Linked DNA regions of Struthio camelus. The protein of the gene in region 2 interacts with the protein of the main gene of each other region in a pairwise test. Links are inferred from orthologs where the notes say so. Each region holds a gene or a part of one and is shown on either strand. Other genes may lie near its edges. The genes, in order: SHC2 and FLT1.

What was found.
Region 1: the proteins of FLT1 (region 2) and SHC2 interact in a two-hybrid assay, tested with the Homo sapiens proteins (2 studies listed by BioGRID). The link is inferred for Struthio camelus from reciprocal best matches to the Homo sapiens genes FLT1 and SHC2.

Annotation. Positions count from the first base shown.
Region 1 is NC_090967.1:7,690,686-7,698,223, reverse strand, and holds the start of SHC2 (SHC-transforming protein 2), read right to left. Parts: upstream 3,142-7,538; 5' UTR 3,136-3,141; coding exon 2,578-3,135; intron 1,773-2,577; coding exon 1,702-1,772; intron 994-1,701; coding exon 933-993; intron 775-932; coding exon 655-774; intron 570-654; coding exon 516-569; intron 430-515; coding exon 378-429; intron 228-377; coding exon 101-227; intron 4-100; coding exon 1-3. UniProt on the Homo sapiens protein: Signaling adapter that couples activated growth factor receptors to signaling pathway in neurons. Involved in the signal transduction pathways of neurotrophin-activated Trk receptors in cortical neurons.
Region 2 is NC_090942.1:200,284,804-200,292,710, reverse strand, and holds the start of FLT1 (vascular endothelial growth factor receptor 1), read right to left. Parts: upstream 3,032-7,907; 5' UTR 3,018-3,031; coding exon 2,720-3,017; intron 1-2,719. UniProt on the Homo sapiens protein: Tyrosine-protein kinase that acts as a cell-surface receptor for VEGFA, VEGFB and PGF, and plays an essential role in the development of embryonic vasculature, the regulation of angiogenesis, cell survival, cell migration, macrophage function, chemotaxis, and cancer cell invasion.

The DNA.
Region 1 (7,538 bases), on a different chromosome or scaffold from region 2:
GCCCTGCGCGGGGACGCACGGGGACGGGCGCACCCTGCCCCGTCCGACCCCCGCGCCCGTCCCGGCGGAGCCGGTGCCGGTGCCGGTGCCGGTGCCCTACCTGTCCGCGGGCGCCGCCGCCCGGGGCGGGCTGTGCAGGTACTGCTTGAAGCGCAGCTCGAAGGCCTGGCCCACCGTGCTGATGACGCTCTGCGCCAGCCCCTCGCAGCACTCCAGGATGTGGCAGGCTGCGGACGGACGGACGGGCGGACGGACGGAGGGACGGAGGCTCGGCCGCCCCCCTCCGCCGCGTCCCCCGCTCCGGCCCCGGCCCCCGGCTCAGCCCTCCTGCCCGCGCCCCCTCCCCGCCGCCCCGCGGGCTCCCGGGCGAGCGTCACCTCTCTGGTTGATGGGGTCCTTGGCGACGTAGGCCACGTAGTCGGTGGTGTCCTGGGGGCACGGAGGGGCGGTCAGGGCCGGGGCCGCCTCCGGAGCGCCGCGGGGCGCCCACCCCGCGCCTCGGCCCCGCTCCTCACCGCGTCCCCGCCGGAGGCGAAGGAGATGGACTGCATGTGGTGGTGGGCGACGATCTGCGGGGAGACGCGGCCCGGAGCGGGGTGAGCGCGGGGCCCCCCCGCCGCCGCCCGGCCGCCGCCTGGCCGCCGCTCCGCTCACCTGCCGCGTGCTGGGGATGCTGAGGTTGAGGCCGTCGACGGAGATGTTGACGGCGATGCTCATGCCGGCGAAGCGGAGGTTGCTCTTGCCCAGGATGGAGAAGAGCGCCTTGTTGGGGGCCTGGGGGCGACGGGGCGGCGCTGGGCTGAGCAGCCCCCCGGCCGGGTTTCTCGGGGCCAAGGAGGGCAGCGAGGCGCCGGGCACGGGGCGACCCGCGGGGAGGACCCCCGGCCCGGCTCGGCCCCGGGAAGCAGCCGCCGGCCGGGCTGGGAACTCACCTTCTTCTTCCAGATGCCCTTCACGCCCGGCACCGCCTCGTACAGTCTGTTGATGGCTTCCCTGCGAGCGCCGCGCCAGGGGGTCACGGCTGCACAGCCCCGGCCCCCCCGGCCCCCCGGTCCCCTGGGCACGGCCAGCCGCAGCCCCCCCCCCCGCCGTCCCCAATGTCACCGCTGCCGCGGGTGAATAATCCCGGCCGGAGCCGCCTCCCTTCTCCTCTTTCTGCTATCGATCGGCAGCAGGTGCCCTTCGCCGCGCCGCTCCCACGTCCCCAGCCCAGCACAAGGGTCCCCGATCGTGGCCCCGTCCCCGGCACAGCATGGGGGACCCCGTCCCCAGCACAGCACAAGGGTCCCTGACCACAGCCCCGGCCCTGGCACAGCAAAAGGGTCCCCGACTGTGGCCTCATCACCAGCATGGCACGGGGGTCCACAACCATGGCCTTGTCCCCAGCACAGTGCAGGGGTCCCTGTTCCCATCCCCAGCACAGTGCAGGGGCACCCAACCGTGGCCTCATCCCTGGCATGCCGCAGGGGTCCCCATCCCCATCTCTGGCACGGCACAGGGGTCCCCAACCATGGCATCATCACCAGCATGGTGCAGGGGTCCCCATCCCCATCCCCATCCCCATCCCCATCCCCATCCCCATCTCCATCCCCATCTCCATCTCCATCCTGGCGCAGGGTCCCCGACCGCGGCCCCGTCCCCCACCTCCCCGCAGGGAGGGAAGCCACTGCCGGGGCCGGCGGGGCGCGGGGCCCTCCCTACCTGGTGACCTGCGTGCGGGTGTTGAAGTCCAGGGACCGCATGGAGCGCAGCACCTCGATGCAGCCCATGTACTGCGGGGCGGCAGGAGGGGAGGGTGCTCAGAGCGGCCACCGGCGCGAAGGAGGGGAGCCGGGGCGGCGAGGGGGCGTCCCGAGACCCCGCGCCGGGGCTCGCCCCGATGCGCAGACGCCCAGCGGGGAGGCTCCGTCGCGCCCCCGAACCCGCGCTGAGACCCGGCACGCTCGTCTGCCTGCGAGGGGCTGGCTCCGGCCACGTCCCAGAGCTGCTCCCCCGGGCCGGGGAGCCCCCAGCCGGCCCAGCCGCCCTCCCCGCCGTGTGCCAGTGGCTTCACAGAGCTCGGCCGCCACGTGACGGGGAGAAAGGGCTGCGCGGATGGCGCCCGCCGCCGTGCCACCGGGCCTGCCCGCCCCGAGCATCGCCCCAGCCCGCAGCCGGCTGCCGCCTGCAGCGCCCGCGCGGGGCCACCCGCCCAGTCACCCTGCCGGCCAGCTCCCCTGCAGGCACGGCCCTTTGGCTGGAGGGAAACTGAGGCACGGCGGGGCCGTGGGGCAGGTGCGTCCTGGCAGAGCATCCCTGGGCTCTGCCTCGCTCCCCGGCCCCGAGCGTCCGCCCGGCCCCGAGCCGCGTGCAGGCTGGGCTGGTTCGGAGCCAGGCGCGTGGCCGCAGCACGGTGCAGCCTGCCAGCAGCCTTCGGCCCCGGAAACCATCGCCGCGGCCCCTGCGCCAAGCATGGAGCCCCCAGGAGGCTGGCGCGGAGCTCCCCAGCCGGGCAGCACCCGGTCCTGGGGCAACGGCACCGCTTGGCGCCGGGGGCTTCGCGCCTGCCCACCAGGACGCGGCCGCAGCCAGACTTACCCGGACGATGTAGGAGACGCCGGGTCCCAGCACCCGCTCGTCGGGATGGAGCCAGCCCTGCGCCGGCTTGCTGATGAAGCTGCCCTTGCGGGTCCACTCGTCGCCGGCCAGCTTGGCCCCCTCGACGCGGGCGGCCTTCCTGGCGGCCCCAGCCCCGCCGCGCAGCCGGCTCATCACCTGCAGCGAGCAGGGCGCCGAGCAGACGGGCTCGCAGGCGCTCAGCACGGCGGCCAGGCTGGAGGGGGGCCCCCCCGGCTCCGCGGGGCCCCCCGCCTTGGCCGGCGAGGAGAGCTCCTTGCTGGAGCCCGAAGGGCTGCGGCTGAGGAAGCCCGTGGGGCCGGGGAACTTCCACTGGGGCATCCTGGGGATGAGCATGCAGAAGGTGGTGACGGCCTCCTGCTCCTCGCCGAGCGGGGGACACGGGTGGGCCAGGGCCGGGGCCGCGCCGGCGGGCGAGGGGGCCGGCGACGGCATGGGGGCGGCCGGCGGGTGGCGCGGGGCGGCCGCGGCCGTCAGCGTGTCGTTGCGAAAGCGGTCATACTTGGGCTCCGGGAGCATGCCCCGCGCTGCGGCCGTGCCTCTGGAGCGGCTGCCTGGCGCGGCGCGCGCTGGCGGCGCGGCTGCCCGCGCCGGCCCCCACCCCCTGCCCGCTCCCCCGGGGCTGGCGGCGCGGTGATGTCATGGTGTGAGTGCTCGCCGGCCGGCAGGCTGCGCGCCCAAGGCCGCCCCGCGAGCATCCCTCCCACCCCGCGCGTCCCTCCCGCCCTGTGCGCGTCCCTCCCGCCCCATCAGCATCCCTCCAGCCGCGCAGCATCCCTCCCGCCCCATCAGCATCCCTCCAGCCGTGCAGCATCCCTCCCGCCCCATCAGCATCCCTCCAGCCGTGCAGCATCCCTCCTGCTTCATCAGCATCCCTCTGGCCCCACACACATCCCTCTAGCCCCACAAGCATCCCTCTAGCCATGCAAGTGTCCCTCCCGCCCCATCAGCATCCCTCCAGCCGTGCAGCATCCCTCCCGCCCCATCAGCATCCCTCCAGCCGTGCAGCATCCCTCCTGCTCTATCAGCATCCCTCCAGCCGTGCAGCATCCCTCCTGCCCCATCAGCATTCCTCCAGCCATGCAGCATCCCTCCTGCTTCATCAGCATCCCTCTGGCCCCACACACATCCCTCTAGCCCCACAAGCATCCCTCTAGCCATGCAAGTGTCCCTCCCACCCCATCAGCATCCCTCCAGCCGTGCAGCATCCCTCCCGCCCCATCAGCATCCCTCCAGCCGTGCAGCATCCCTCCCGCCCCATCAGCATTCCTCCAGCCATGCAGCATCCCTCCTGCTTCATCAGCATCCCTCTGGCCCCACACACATCCCTCTAGCCCCACAAGCATCCCTCTAGCCATGCAAGTGTCCCTCCCACCCCATCAGCATCCCTCCAGCCGTGCAGCATCCCTCCCGCCCCATCAGCATCTCTTCAGCTGTGCAGCATCCCTCCCGCCCCATCAGCATCCCTCCAGCCGTGCAGCATCCCTCCCGCCCCATCAGCATCCCTCCAGCCCCATCAGCATCCCTCTGACCCCATGAGCATCCCTCTGGCCCTGTGAGCATCCCTCCCACCCCACGCACATCCCTCCTGCCCCATCAGCATCCCTCTGGCCCCACGAGCATCCGTTAAGCTGTGCAAGCATCCCTCCCACCCCACGCACATGCCTTTGGCACCACACGCATCCCTCCTGCCATGCAAGCATCCTTCCTGGCCCATGAGCATCCCTCCAGCCCCACTGCCCCCTGAGCCCTTGACTCTGCAGGGAAGGGGCGACAGAGCCCCAGGGAAGGGCAGAAACAGTCCCTGCACCGGATCCCTTCTGAGGAGGGCAGGGGACATGCCTCGACCCCCGAAGCTGGGAGATGGAGGCCAGCGGGGTTTTCCCTGCACGGCCTGGGGTACCCGTGCTGTCCCGGCAGAGCCCCAGGCACGGCCTTGCAGCCCCCCAGGCCTCGGGGGTGCCCCGCCACGTCCGCACACCCTCCGCATGCACAGCCCCATGGGGACAGAGCTGCACGGCGCTGCCTGCCCCGCGCCCCGCTCCCAGCCAGCTCGCCGCGGCCATGGCCGAGCGGAGCCCCTGGCCGGGGCCGGCCGCTGCCCCACGGTGCCCGGCTTTGCAGCAGGTGCTGCAGGGTTAACGGGCTCGGAGCCTCCCGGGTGACGTGGAGCCGGGGAGAGCTACTGCCTGCCCGCTGGGAGCCATAAAGCGTGATGCATGGTCTCCTCTGCAGCTCCCGCTTGCAATTAGCTTGAGTGGCGAGGAGGCAGCTCCTGAAGGGCCAGCAGCCCCCAGCCCCTGCCCTCTCCTGCGCCTGGGATGTTTTCTCCTCTTTTCCGTGTCTCCAGCATCGGGAAATGTTTGCAGGGAGCCTGGGGCTGGCTTTGCAAGGCTCCGCCGCGCAGTGGGGCTGGCCTATTTCTCTGCCTCCCAACCCAGTGGTCTCGTTCACGCCGAGTTTGTCTGCCTCCAAAGCCAGGCCTGTCTCTTGCATGTTTATATCTGTCTGGAGGGCGCTGCCGGTAAAAAGCACAATCATTTTCTTGCTTCTCTGCCAGTATCTGCAGCAAGCAAAGAAAAAACCTTGCAGGGACTTTCTGAGCTCAGAACAATCCCGCTAACGCTCTCCCTCTCCAGACCTGGGGCTGTCTCTTTTTTCCAGGGGTGGAAAGGACTCCGGCCTCCTGTCGAGCCCAGGCCATGCCGCCCGAGCCCCCACCAGCGGCTCGGGGAGGTCCGGGCTGTGCCCCCTGCAGCCCCATGCCCAGAGCGGAGCTGGTCCCACCGGAGCTGCCGGCAGCCGCGTGGGCAGGGGTGGGCGCCAGCCCCGCCAGTGTGAGGCGACGGGATGTTGCAGCCCCACGGGGCAGTCGTGCCCCCTCGCAGCCCACCCCGCTCCCCGGTATTCCCTCTGCCGTGTCGGGCAGCGCGGCCACCGGCGTCCTGCCTCCTCCGTGCCGGCTCCCGCGCCCGGCAGGTGAGGGGGGGGACGCCAGTAATTGCTCTAAGTGCAATCAATAAATCACGGTAATAGAATTACATTTGCTATTGCCGTATTAGGAACCGCTTCTCTTCTCCCAGCCTCTCGCTGCTCTCCTCGGTTTTGTTTTTAAACAGCCGCAAAGCCCCGGGTTGGGCTCCTCGGTGCTGCCGTCGCGGCGCCAGCCGGGATGGGGGTGAGCGGCCGGTCCCCGCGCCGCGCTCGCCCCACGTCCCGCTGCCCCGCGGCGCTGCGAGCCGCTCTCCTCCCTTGCACCAGTCCCCGGGGGCCAAGGGATTATTTTCATCTCGTTCGCAGCCGGTCTCAGACTCTGGACGCTTAGCTGCACGTCGACGGCTTTCCCCTGCCTGTTTTTAACCACGACCTAAAGGAAAGCCCGCGAGAGCGAAGCCCGGGGGGCAGCGGGGCGCGCGGCAGCCCCCGCGGCCGGGCCGAGCGGGGCCGGGCGATCCCCCCTCCCCGGGAGCCCGCGCTTCTGCTGCAGCGCGGGGCGATTCCCGGGGCCGCTGGACTGCACCCCGGCTCTCCCCGGCGGTGGGCGATTTGCATAACCGTTCTGAACCGTGCTAATTAATCTCCTTACACCTCTGGCGCTGCACGAGGGGAATCGACATCAAGTGCTCTCAAGCCCACGAAGGATTAATTAGGAGAGGAGAGCAGGCGCGTGCACGGCCGAGCACACGTGTGACGAGCTGTCAGTGCTGAGCTCCCGGGACCAGGCGGCCTCGAGCCCTCCTGCCCCACGGCATGGCCGCCTCTTTCTCCAAATTTCTCCCCCTGGCAGCCAGGCTGGGAGGGAAAAGGCCTCGAACCCTCCCGGGAGGCATCGGGCTGCAGCCACCCCGACCGAAGGTGGCCGAGAGGGGACGGATGCAGCCGGCTGCCGCCGAGCGGGGCTGCGGGGGCGACGGTCCGGGCGAGGAGCCCCGTGCCAGCACGCTCCCCTCTGCTCCCGCAGCCGCGGCCCCGCTGGGGCCGGGTGCCAGCGCCTCTCCCCAGCCCCCCCGGCAGCCACTCTCGCCGCTGCCTCGGCCTCGGCCACCCCGGCGGGGCGGGAGGCAGACGCGCGGGGGCCACAGCGTGCTGCCGCTTTATTTATTGCAGGTCCCCGGGCTGCAAAGGGGAACCCAGCCCGGCCCGTCGGCCGGCGAAGGCCAGCAGGCGCGATGCATCGCCGAGCAGGCGGCCGGCGATGGCAGCCCCGCTGCGCCCGCTGCTCCCCGCTCCCGCGGCCAGGGGCCATCCCAGCGCGAGGATGCCCGCGGGGAGCCCGGGCTCGCTCCTGCCGGTCCAGGGCCTCGGGGCCGCGACGGTACAAGCTGGCGGGGAGCTGGCGAGGGGCCGGGAGACGGTGGCGCCGGGGCTGGAGGGCCGGTGGGGGCCGCAGCAGCCCCCCAGGCGGCGGGCTGGGGCCGGGGTTCAGCCCCGCGGGTGCCCGCACCGCACCACCGGCCTCAGCCCCAGGCGGCTCTCAAAGGAGCTGGACGGAGCTGGGGGGCCGGGGTGGCTCGGGGCGCAGCAGGGCCGGGACCCCCCGCTCCAGCCCCCCGCGAGCCCCGGGTGCCCCGAGGGCCACGCTGCCCTGCAAACGCCGCCCTCCCTCCTTTGCGACCCGCTCCGAGCGCGGGGCGGAGGAGCGCCCGAGCTCGGAGCCTGTACGAAAGCCGGGAAAAGCCGCTCCCGCAGCCCCCGGGGCCGCAGGAGCCCGGCGCCGCCGCCGGCCGGGCCAGACCCGCAAGGGGAGGTGGGCTGGGGACGGGAGGACGGGCAGCTTGTCCTGCGCGGGGCTGAGCAGGGAAGAAAGGTGTATCGATTGTAATTACGAATGCTCTGCATTTCGAGGACAATGCGCTCTGGCTTTTTAGTGCAAGCTGCTGGCCTGACCTCAGCCATAAATAGCGGCGGGGGCTGCCTCCCCC
Region 2 (7,907 bases):
CAAAGAAATATGATTTCCTTAATCTCATTTTGAAATGGGAAGTCTCGTGGCTTGCAGTTTGCATACTGCTTTGGGGAGATTTAAATTTAGACATATACAAGCTAAAAGACTTCCTTCTGTCCCTTCCCTATGAAACTGTCTGCAGTAACTCCTGAACTACTGACTTTTTCTGTGAATGTACTCCAGTACCTGTTGGTCAATGGGAGCTGAGCAGATGCCCTTCGAGATTAAACCACAGCAGGGGACCGCACGGCAGTGATGAATCGAGTTTCATCAAGAACACTTGAAAGGGGAAGCGCTGACCAGCCTGAGTAACAGTTTTAGACAAACAAGCAGTGTAGGAGGATGACATGGAAAGAGAAGTATTGTGAGTATCTATGCATGGTATAAAACATCCCGCCACTTCACCCGTAATTTTAAAATGCCAGGTGCAAATGCAAGTACGGAGAGTTTTACTGCTGACTCAGAAGAGGCACGATCAACCTATCTGGAATGCCTAGACAAAGCTGTGCAAGGGACAATTTCCTTTTCAGCAAAACAAATTGTAACAAGATGAACAATTTCAAGAAAGTCCTAATCTTGATTTGGACCTTAACTTATCATACTTGGGGGGAAGGGAGGGAATTGCCAGCAAAGAGGTTGCAAAGGTACTCAGTCAAACTACAACAAAGCACTCTTCCAGCACCTATTGCGCCTGAGCCAGTCCCAGGATGTACCTCATGGTAGTCCAGTGCCCAGAGCACCAGCTTTTCCACTAAGCAAGCTTAGCTTTTCCCACTGGAGCTGTTCTAAGGTGTATATATCCCTGGGTAGCACGGGGAACAGGAAAGTGATCCAGTCTCTCACAGCCCTTGGATCACAGAGTTCATCTTCTCTTTGGGCAGTGGTTTGTCATGATTTGCACAACGGGAAACCTTTCCAACAGGAAAGAGGAAGCCAGTGCCCCAGAGTAGCTGGTCACTTCAGGAGCACATGTGGGAGCCGGACACTGGAGTTCAAGCCCATGCTCTGAAGGAAGCCTAGTAAGGATCTGAACTAACATTTCCTGTACCGAGGGCAGGCGTCCCGTGCCTGTGCCTACTTCATCCTGGGTATGAGAACCTCCTTGGCAGGGATAAATAATACGGGAAAAATAGCACTTTCCCGGGGGGGAAAATGTATGTACACACAGACACACATACACACAAACAAATATATATACACACATACATATATATATATAAATTGATGAATCAGCCTTTCCCGAGTAGGAAAACGTCTCCTCAGAGCAGCCCCTGCTCGCGGTCACCCCGGGCAGCCCCGGGACGCGGCTGCTGTCGGCCGGCAGCACCGGCAGCCGCCGAGGAGCGCCGCGCCGCGCCTCGCAGGGGCCGCTCCCGCGGGCATCACTCCGCTCCGCGCCGCTCCGCGCAGGGGCCGCTCCCGCGGGCATCACTCCGCTCCGCGCCGCTCCGCGCAGGGGCCCCTCCCGCGGGCATCACTCCGCTCCGCGCCACGCAGGGGCCGCTCCCGCGGGCACTCGCGGAGGAGCAGCCCGAGCCCTCGGCCACTTGTGAGGGGGAGCGCCGCAGGTCGGGTGGCCGCAGCCCTGACCACAGAGACGCCGCGCTGCGCGGTCACTGGCCTCGGTGACGGCCGCGGAGAGCTCAGTTTTCCCACTCTCCCGGCGGGATTTGCCCTCGCCCCAAGCTCGGTCAGGCCAGACCATGCTGCGCGCCTGCCCGCGGAGGCTGCCGGGGCCGCAGACCTGCCCCTCGGGGAGCTCCGCAGACCGGCAGCGAGGAGCTCCCGCGGGACCGGCACCGTGCCCGGCCCCACGCAGCCCTGCTCCCCGGCGAGCAGCAATGCCATGCGGGCACACGCTCCAGCTCACGGCGCACCGGCCTAGCAGGGCAAGCTCCTCTCCCAAAGTAAAATGTAACTCCATTAGGAGGAACAAATCTGTGCGCTCCTCTATCCCGGCACCGCGCAGCCTTGCGCGAGGCCAGCGCCGGCGAGCAGCGCCCTCCCGCTCTCCGCGCGCGTCCGCGCTAGGCAGCTCCAGCGCGGCCACCCTTAACGCGCAGGCAGCGCCGGCCGGTGCTCCGCGGACGTGCGGTCCTGCCCGGGGGCGGCCACGAGGATGTGTGTTTTGCGAAGGAAATGGGTAACCTTCCTTTCCTACTTAACGGGTAGAACCGGGAGAGGCTGACACTTCGAAACAAAGAGGGGAAGAAAAAAAGCCTGCCCTGGAGCCTAGACCTGTTTTCTTTCCGTGATGCTGTCGCACCGGTTGGGACAACGCCTGGGGCTGGTCGGGCCCCCCGCGGCCGCTCGGCTCCCCGCCGGCACCGCTGGCTGCCCGGGAGAGGCGCGGAGGCTCCGCACCCGCCGGCGCCCCGGCGCGCCTCTCTCCAGCCGCCTCCCGCTGTTGCCCCAGGGCAGGCGGCCGGGAGCCGGAGGGTGAAGCCCCCTCGGGATCCGGCCTTTCCCGACTCTCTGAGGAGCCGCGATGGCCGTCGCCTCCCCCCCGCCGGGGGCTCTGGGGAGCCGCCGGGTGCCGAGGGGAGGCAGGTGGGAAGCGGCGGCCGGGGAGGGTGCGGGACCCCGCCGAGGAGGGAGCCGGTGGGGCCGCGTCGCGGAGATCCCCGCGGGGGTGTGTGGGGGGAGCAGGATGGGCAAGGGGCAGCGGGGCTCGGGTCCGGGGGGCGGCAGCCCCGCGACGGGGCAGGGGCCTTACCTGCGAGCAGCAGGGCGGCCCCCAGCAGCACGGTCCCAGAGAGCAGCTGGCAGGGCATGGTCCTGCCCGCGGGGAGCGCAGGGCTCTTCCCCTGCCGACGGCAGCGAGGCAGAGGCGCCGGCTGGGCTCCGACGGGCTCTCCTCCGTCCGGGGCTCCTCCCGCGGCGGCGGAGATAACGGTGCAGCGCGGCGCGGGACCAGCATCCAGCAGCCCCCGAGCCCTCCCCGCCCGCCCCTGCCCGCGGAAAAGGGAGTGTCCGCAGCCGGCCGCCCTGCCTGCTTCACCTCCCGCCGACATCAATTACCAGCCAGCCGCCGCCCCGCTGATTTATAACTTCTCCACCCCTCACCGCGCACCCCCACCCCCGGCCCACATCCTCCGCCCTCCCCGGGACGCGTCACGGGACCCCCCGCCCGCCCCACGGCAGGCACGGGGCGCTCCCGCAGCCCTCCCGGCCCCGCGCCGCCCCCGACGCAGCGCCCGGCTCCAGCCGGCCGTGCCCTCCCGCCGCCGCCGCCGCCCGGCCCCGCCCGGCCCGGCGCTGGGGACTTCCCAGCGGCTGCCCCGCACCGGGATGGGGTCCCGGAGGGGCTCACCGCCCCCGTCGGCGCCGCGGTGTAGGACGGGGCCGACCGGCTCCGCCCGGCAAGGCGCGCAACACACTCGTGCCTCCAGACCAGACGGGTTCCCCGCAGAAGTGCTAGGGGCGTCCCGTGCCGCAGCGCCGGCCTCCTGCACCGCAAAGAGCCAGCGGTGCTTCCCGTGGTGAGGAGCGTGGAGTTAGGGCCAGGTGAGACCGGCACTCCCACCTTTTCCCGTGCTGTCGGACAGGGCGCTCGGGGAGCCTGGCAGCACCCCGTGCACCCGCAGCACCCCGGGAACAGCCCTGCCAGGTGCCCGGGGCTGCTCTCCCCACCTTCCCCCCAGAGGGTCAGCACGGGGTCCCCAGCAAGCAGCATGGAGCACTCTGGGCAGCAAAGAGGCAGCACGGGCTAAAGATGTTCCAGGAGTGTGCCCAGTGCTGTTGGCGGCCTTCATCGACCCTATGACTTCCAGGACTAAGCTGGAAATGTATTTCTCCTCCTCATGCATTTACCTTACGCTTTCCATGATTGTTTTATTTTGTGAGAGACCAGAGGGAGCCCATGACAACAAAACCTACACTATGTGTTTCCACTTTCTCCCTTTTGTAGCCAGAGATGGGCTATTGGGCGAAGGAGGTCTTTGGTCTGACCCAGTATGGCCCTTCCTATGTTTTTATGTTATGAAATAAGTCTCAAGAGTCTCTGCATGAGGCAGGTAAATGTGATTATCCCCATTTCACAGAGGAGGAAATGGAGGCGCATAAAGAGGTTAGGCAGCCAGTCCAAGGTCATAGGAAGCGGGTGACAGAAGCTAGAAATAGAACTCAGATCTCCTGTGTCCCACCAGACCATCCTGTGCAAGAAAAAAGATGAGAAGTTGGTGTTGTTTTTAACTTGAGGACTGTTTAACTTTCAAGTTTAAAGTTGGTGAGAATATTTCCTGCAGGCTTCTGTCAGATTCCTATTCATAAGTGACACCCTAAGCTAAGAATTTAAGCTTATATTTTCCAATCATCCTGCCTCCAACTGAGACCTTGAAAATAAAATAGTTATGGGTACCTTCCCCCTCATCTGCTTACACCATGGGGGGAAGAGCCCCAAAATTTCTTTCCTGAAGAGGATGACTCATAAGAAATCACCTCCTCCAGTGGAGAGGACAGCAACTGGGAAAACAGTCAGCCAGTGAGGATAGATTAACCAGAATTAGGACCATGGGCATCCTGACAGCTCAGACCCCCTAAGAGCAAGGGCTCCCTGTGGAAGGAGCTAAGGGAACTCTCTGTCCCTGCCCTTGACCTTCTCAGTGCTGAGTACATGCTGAGTCTGTGATGATGCAGGCCCCATCATGAGCTCTGCAGCTATGCCACACCAGCTCCCACCCTGTTCACACCTCCTACACCGCAGCTGCATTTGGTCATGGCCCTCCAAAGACCACAACACTTTGGCAAGACTTACCACCTTCCTTCTCTAACGGATGTCATCAGCTCCTGATCCACCCAAGGGACTGAGGAACAGGAAGGGCAGACCTGAAGATCTGTTCATAACCCTTCAATCCAGTTCATATACTAAAGCCAGTGGAGCCTGCAAGAAGATTAAAAAGACCCCCTTAGGGAGATACAGACAAGAATGAGGCAGCAGATATTCTCAGAAGGCAGAATGAAAACACCATAGGAAGCATATGCCTGGAGGTAGATGAAAGGCACATCTACCTACATCTATGTTTCTAAACATAGAGGCTGAAGCATCTGGACAGATGGACAGTGTATGGTGAAGGAGAAGGCAGCATGGAACTTATTTGAAAGATCTTATTTGTATCTACTATGACATAACTTGCAATAGCTACTCGGATGGGAGCTAATTTTGAAGAGTGCCTTAGGTGCTGTGGCCATACAAATGCTGATGGGCCAACCATAGACCCATTCCAGGCAAATGTACATCTTGCAGGCAATATGATCTCTTGACACCAGAATCTTAGGCTCAGGTTTGGCACTAAGTAATAGGTAGCATATGTGCAGACAAGTCTTATCCTTGGGCATTATGTTTCCTTTGGCTGTGAAAAGTGGGAAATCTCCTTTCTCTAACATTTGCTAAAAAAATTATTACCAAATGCTAGAAAGAAAACCTGCCAAATTTAACAGCTGAGAGTAAGCCCTCTTTGAAACATAGCAGACAAACATCTTTCCTGCAAGGCTGATTGTCTGCTCAATCTCCAGCGCTATAGAAGCTGCAAAAGATGGAGAAGAAATAGCCCTCACAGTAGACATCAGTTTTAAGGGTTCACTTGCAGCCCAGCAGTACGTTGTATTGTTCATGAATGTTACCCTGCTTTAGAGTAAGATGATTCTGCCAAGCCTTTTGGTTGAACAACCCATACATCTAGCCCTAAGATAAATAAGTTATCAGATAGCAAAAGCACTAATTCTTCAATATGCATCCTTTCCCCCTCCCTGGCCTTCAAGACTCATTGGAACACCACAGAAAGCGAGCAATAGGACATTTGACTGAAAAGGCAAGTAATTAGGGCATTCATCTGAGGAAGGGGTCAAGCCCATTTCCTGGGTCTGCCTTGTGCAATAGACGCACATGTTATAAAGAAACAGACACCACCCAAGAGCAAGGTGGGGTGGAGAGACGTCTCAACCCGGATATGACTTAGTCAAGTCACTAGGACACATCCTGAGGTTGTGGATCCTATTCCCTGCTAGAAGCAGGACACCTGGCACATCCTGAGTTAAGGTTTTAGCCAAGTCTCCTGGGAGGAATAGCTTGGACAGTTCCCGTGGACGTGGCAAAAAATAAAGAGCCTGGAAAATCCCACTCATACCAGCAGCTGATACCCTCCCAGCCTGACCTGACTCTTTCCAGTCATGGTAGCAATTTTTTTATTTGCACTGATGCTCAAAATTAGCTCCATGAGATACCAGTTCCAGTGTTCAGAGCATTACACAAAACGTTATTACCAGCATCTGCACCAGCAGTAGCCTGTCCTCAGGAAAAGACTACGTGGATTGGAGTGAGAACTGAAGGACCTAATGATTTCTGTTGATCCCCTGTGCTCATGGCACAGAGGTACACACCTCACAACAGCAGGCTAGATTGCCTGCTAGACATTCCCAGGTTTCCCACTGTTGGGAGAGAGGGAAAGATATCAAAGCAAAGTAGATTGGATCTCCCTCTGCAGGTCTTCTGCAGAATCTGCATCTACCAATTGACTTCTTAACAGAGGACTGGGTGCTCCCAGGAGCTAAAATTTAAGCAAAGGCATATCTCAGTTAATCATCCAAAAAAATTACATTTTTTTCAGTGGCAGAGCTGGCAGGCAAGGATCCAGTGCTCCTTGTCCACCCTTCCTCCCCACACTACAGTTCACTGCTGCTCTTTTGCACTGGCACAACTGTTTTCAGAGCTCTGTGTAAAACAGTTTGGTGAAACAACCCGGGATTTCACTGGCCCAGTTTTTATGGAGGGCCATTTTCAACCTGAATAATTTCATTAGTATGGTTTACAACACAGCCACACAAAGGGAGACACAGTGAACTGTGATAGCTGGAAGAGTGTTGGAGCGTCTCACACTCATCCAGCTCCTGGGGAAATTGAAGCCTGCAGCAATATCCTAGGCGAGATGGACTGGGTGTGCCCAAGACCTTCCTGTAACTCTCTTCCCCTGTCCCTTGTCAATGAAGTGTTCTCAGTCACCATTATTTTAATTTCCTTTGGTTCCGTCTCCCTAAGTCAGGGACAGAATTTGAGAAGCATGTTATCAAGTCAATTTGATTTACCGTCATCTTCCCAATTTTAGCTGCTTTTGTTATTTGGATTAATCATGGATGAACAGCAGGGACGTACTACATTCAAAGTTTCATTTAAATGAAAGTAAAGTTCCTTATCTTTCTCCGGCACTGTAAGAAGAGAAAGCTGAAAGACCTCTTCTCTGTACTACAGTGTTTAATGGGACAACCACTTGTACTTGCTCAGATGCATATATGAGGCATATGCATAGAAGCACAGGCAAAGACATCAACTATGGTTGTGACTGTGCTTTCCCTCAGCAAGACTGAGCTTTACTTTACACTCTACAGCCTCTCTGCTCTGTGCCGGGTCAGTGTGTGGAGTAAGATAACTAAAAGCTGCAACAAAGATTCAGTCCTTTTAGGACAATCTCACAGCACTGCTGCCCATCATTCACAGAAGGATATGACTATTCAGAGCACTGTCAAAACTAAGTCGACCTTAGGGGTAGGTAAAGAAGGCAGCTATCTAACCACAGCAAGAAGGTAGAGGCCACGGGAGCACATAATTTACTGATGCTCATTATTTCTTATTACAGTTAATCAACTGGCATGAGCAATTAATCAGGTTTTCCTAGTAGTTTACTAGGAGGTGAGGAAGCTAATGAGTTAAGAGCTCCAGTAATCCTCCAGCCTAGCTTGGTGCAGGTCGCAGAACACCCTGTCAGGGCTCGGAGCGTACACCGCTTCCAGGAGTTTCGTTGGCTGAGCTAAGGAGTTTGGCTGGCTTAGTCCGAGGTCAGCTCCTCTGCTGACAATAACTGTTGTGAAGAAAGCTAGGAGCAAGGTCCTGAACCTTCTTTCCCTTGGAAGCT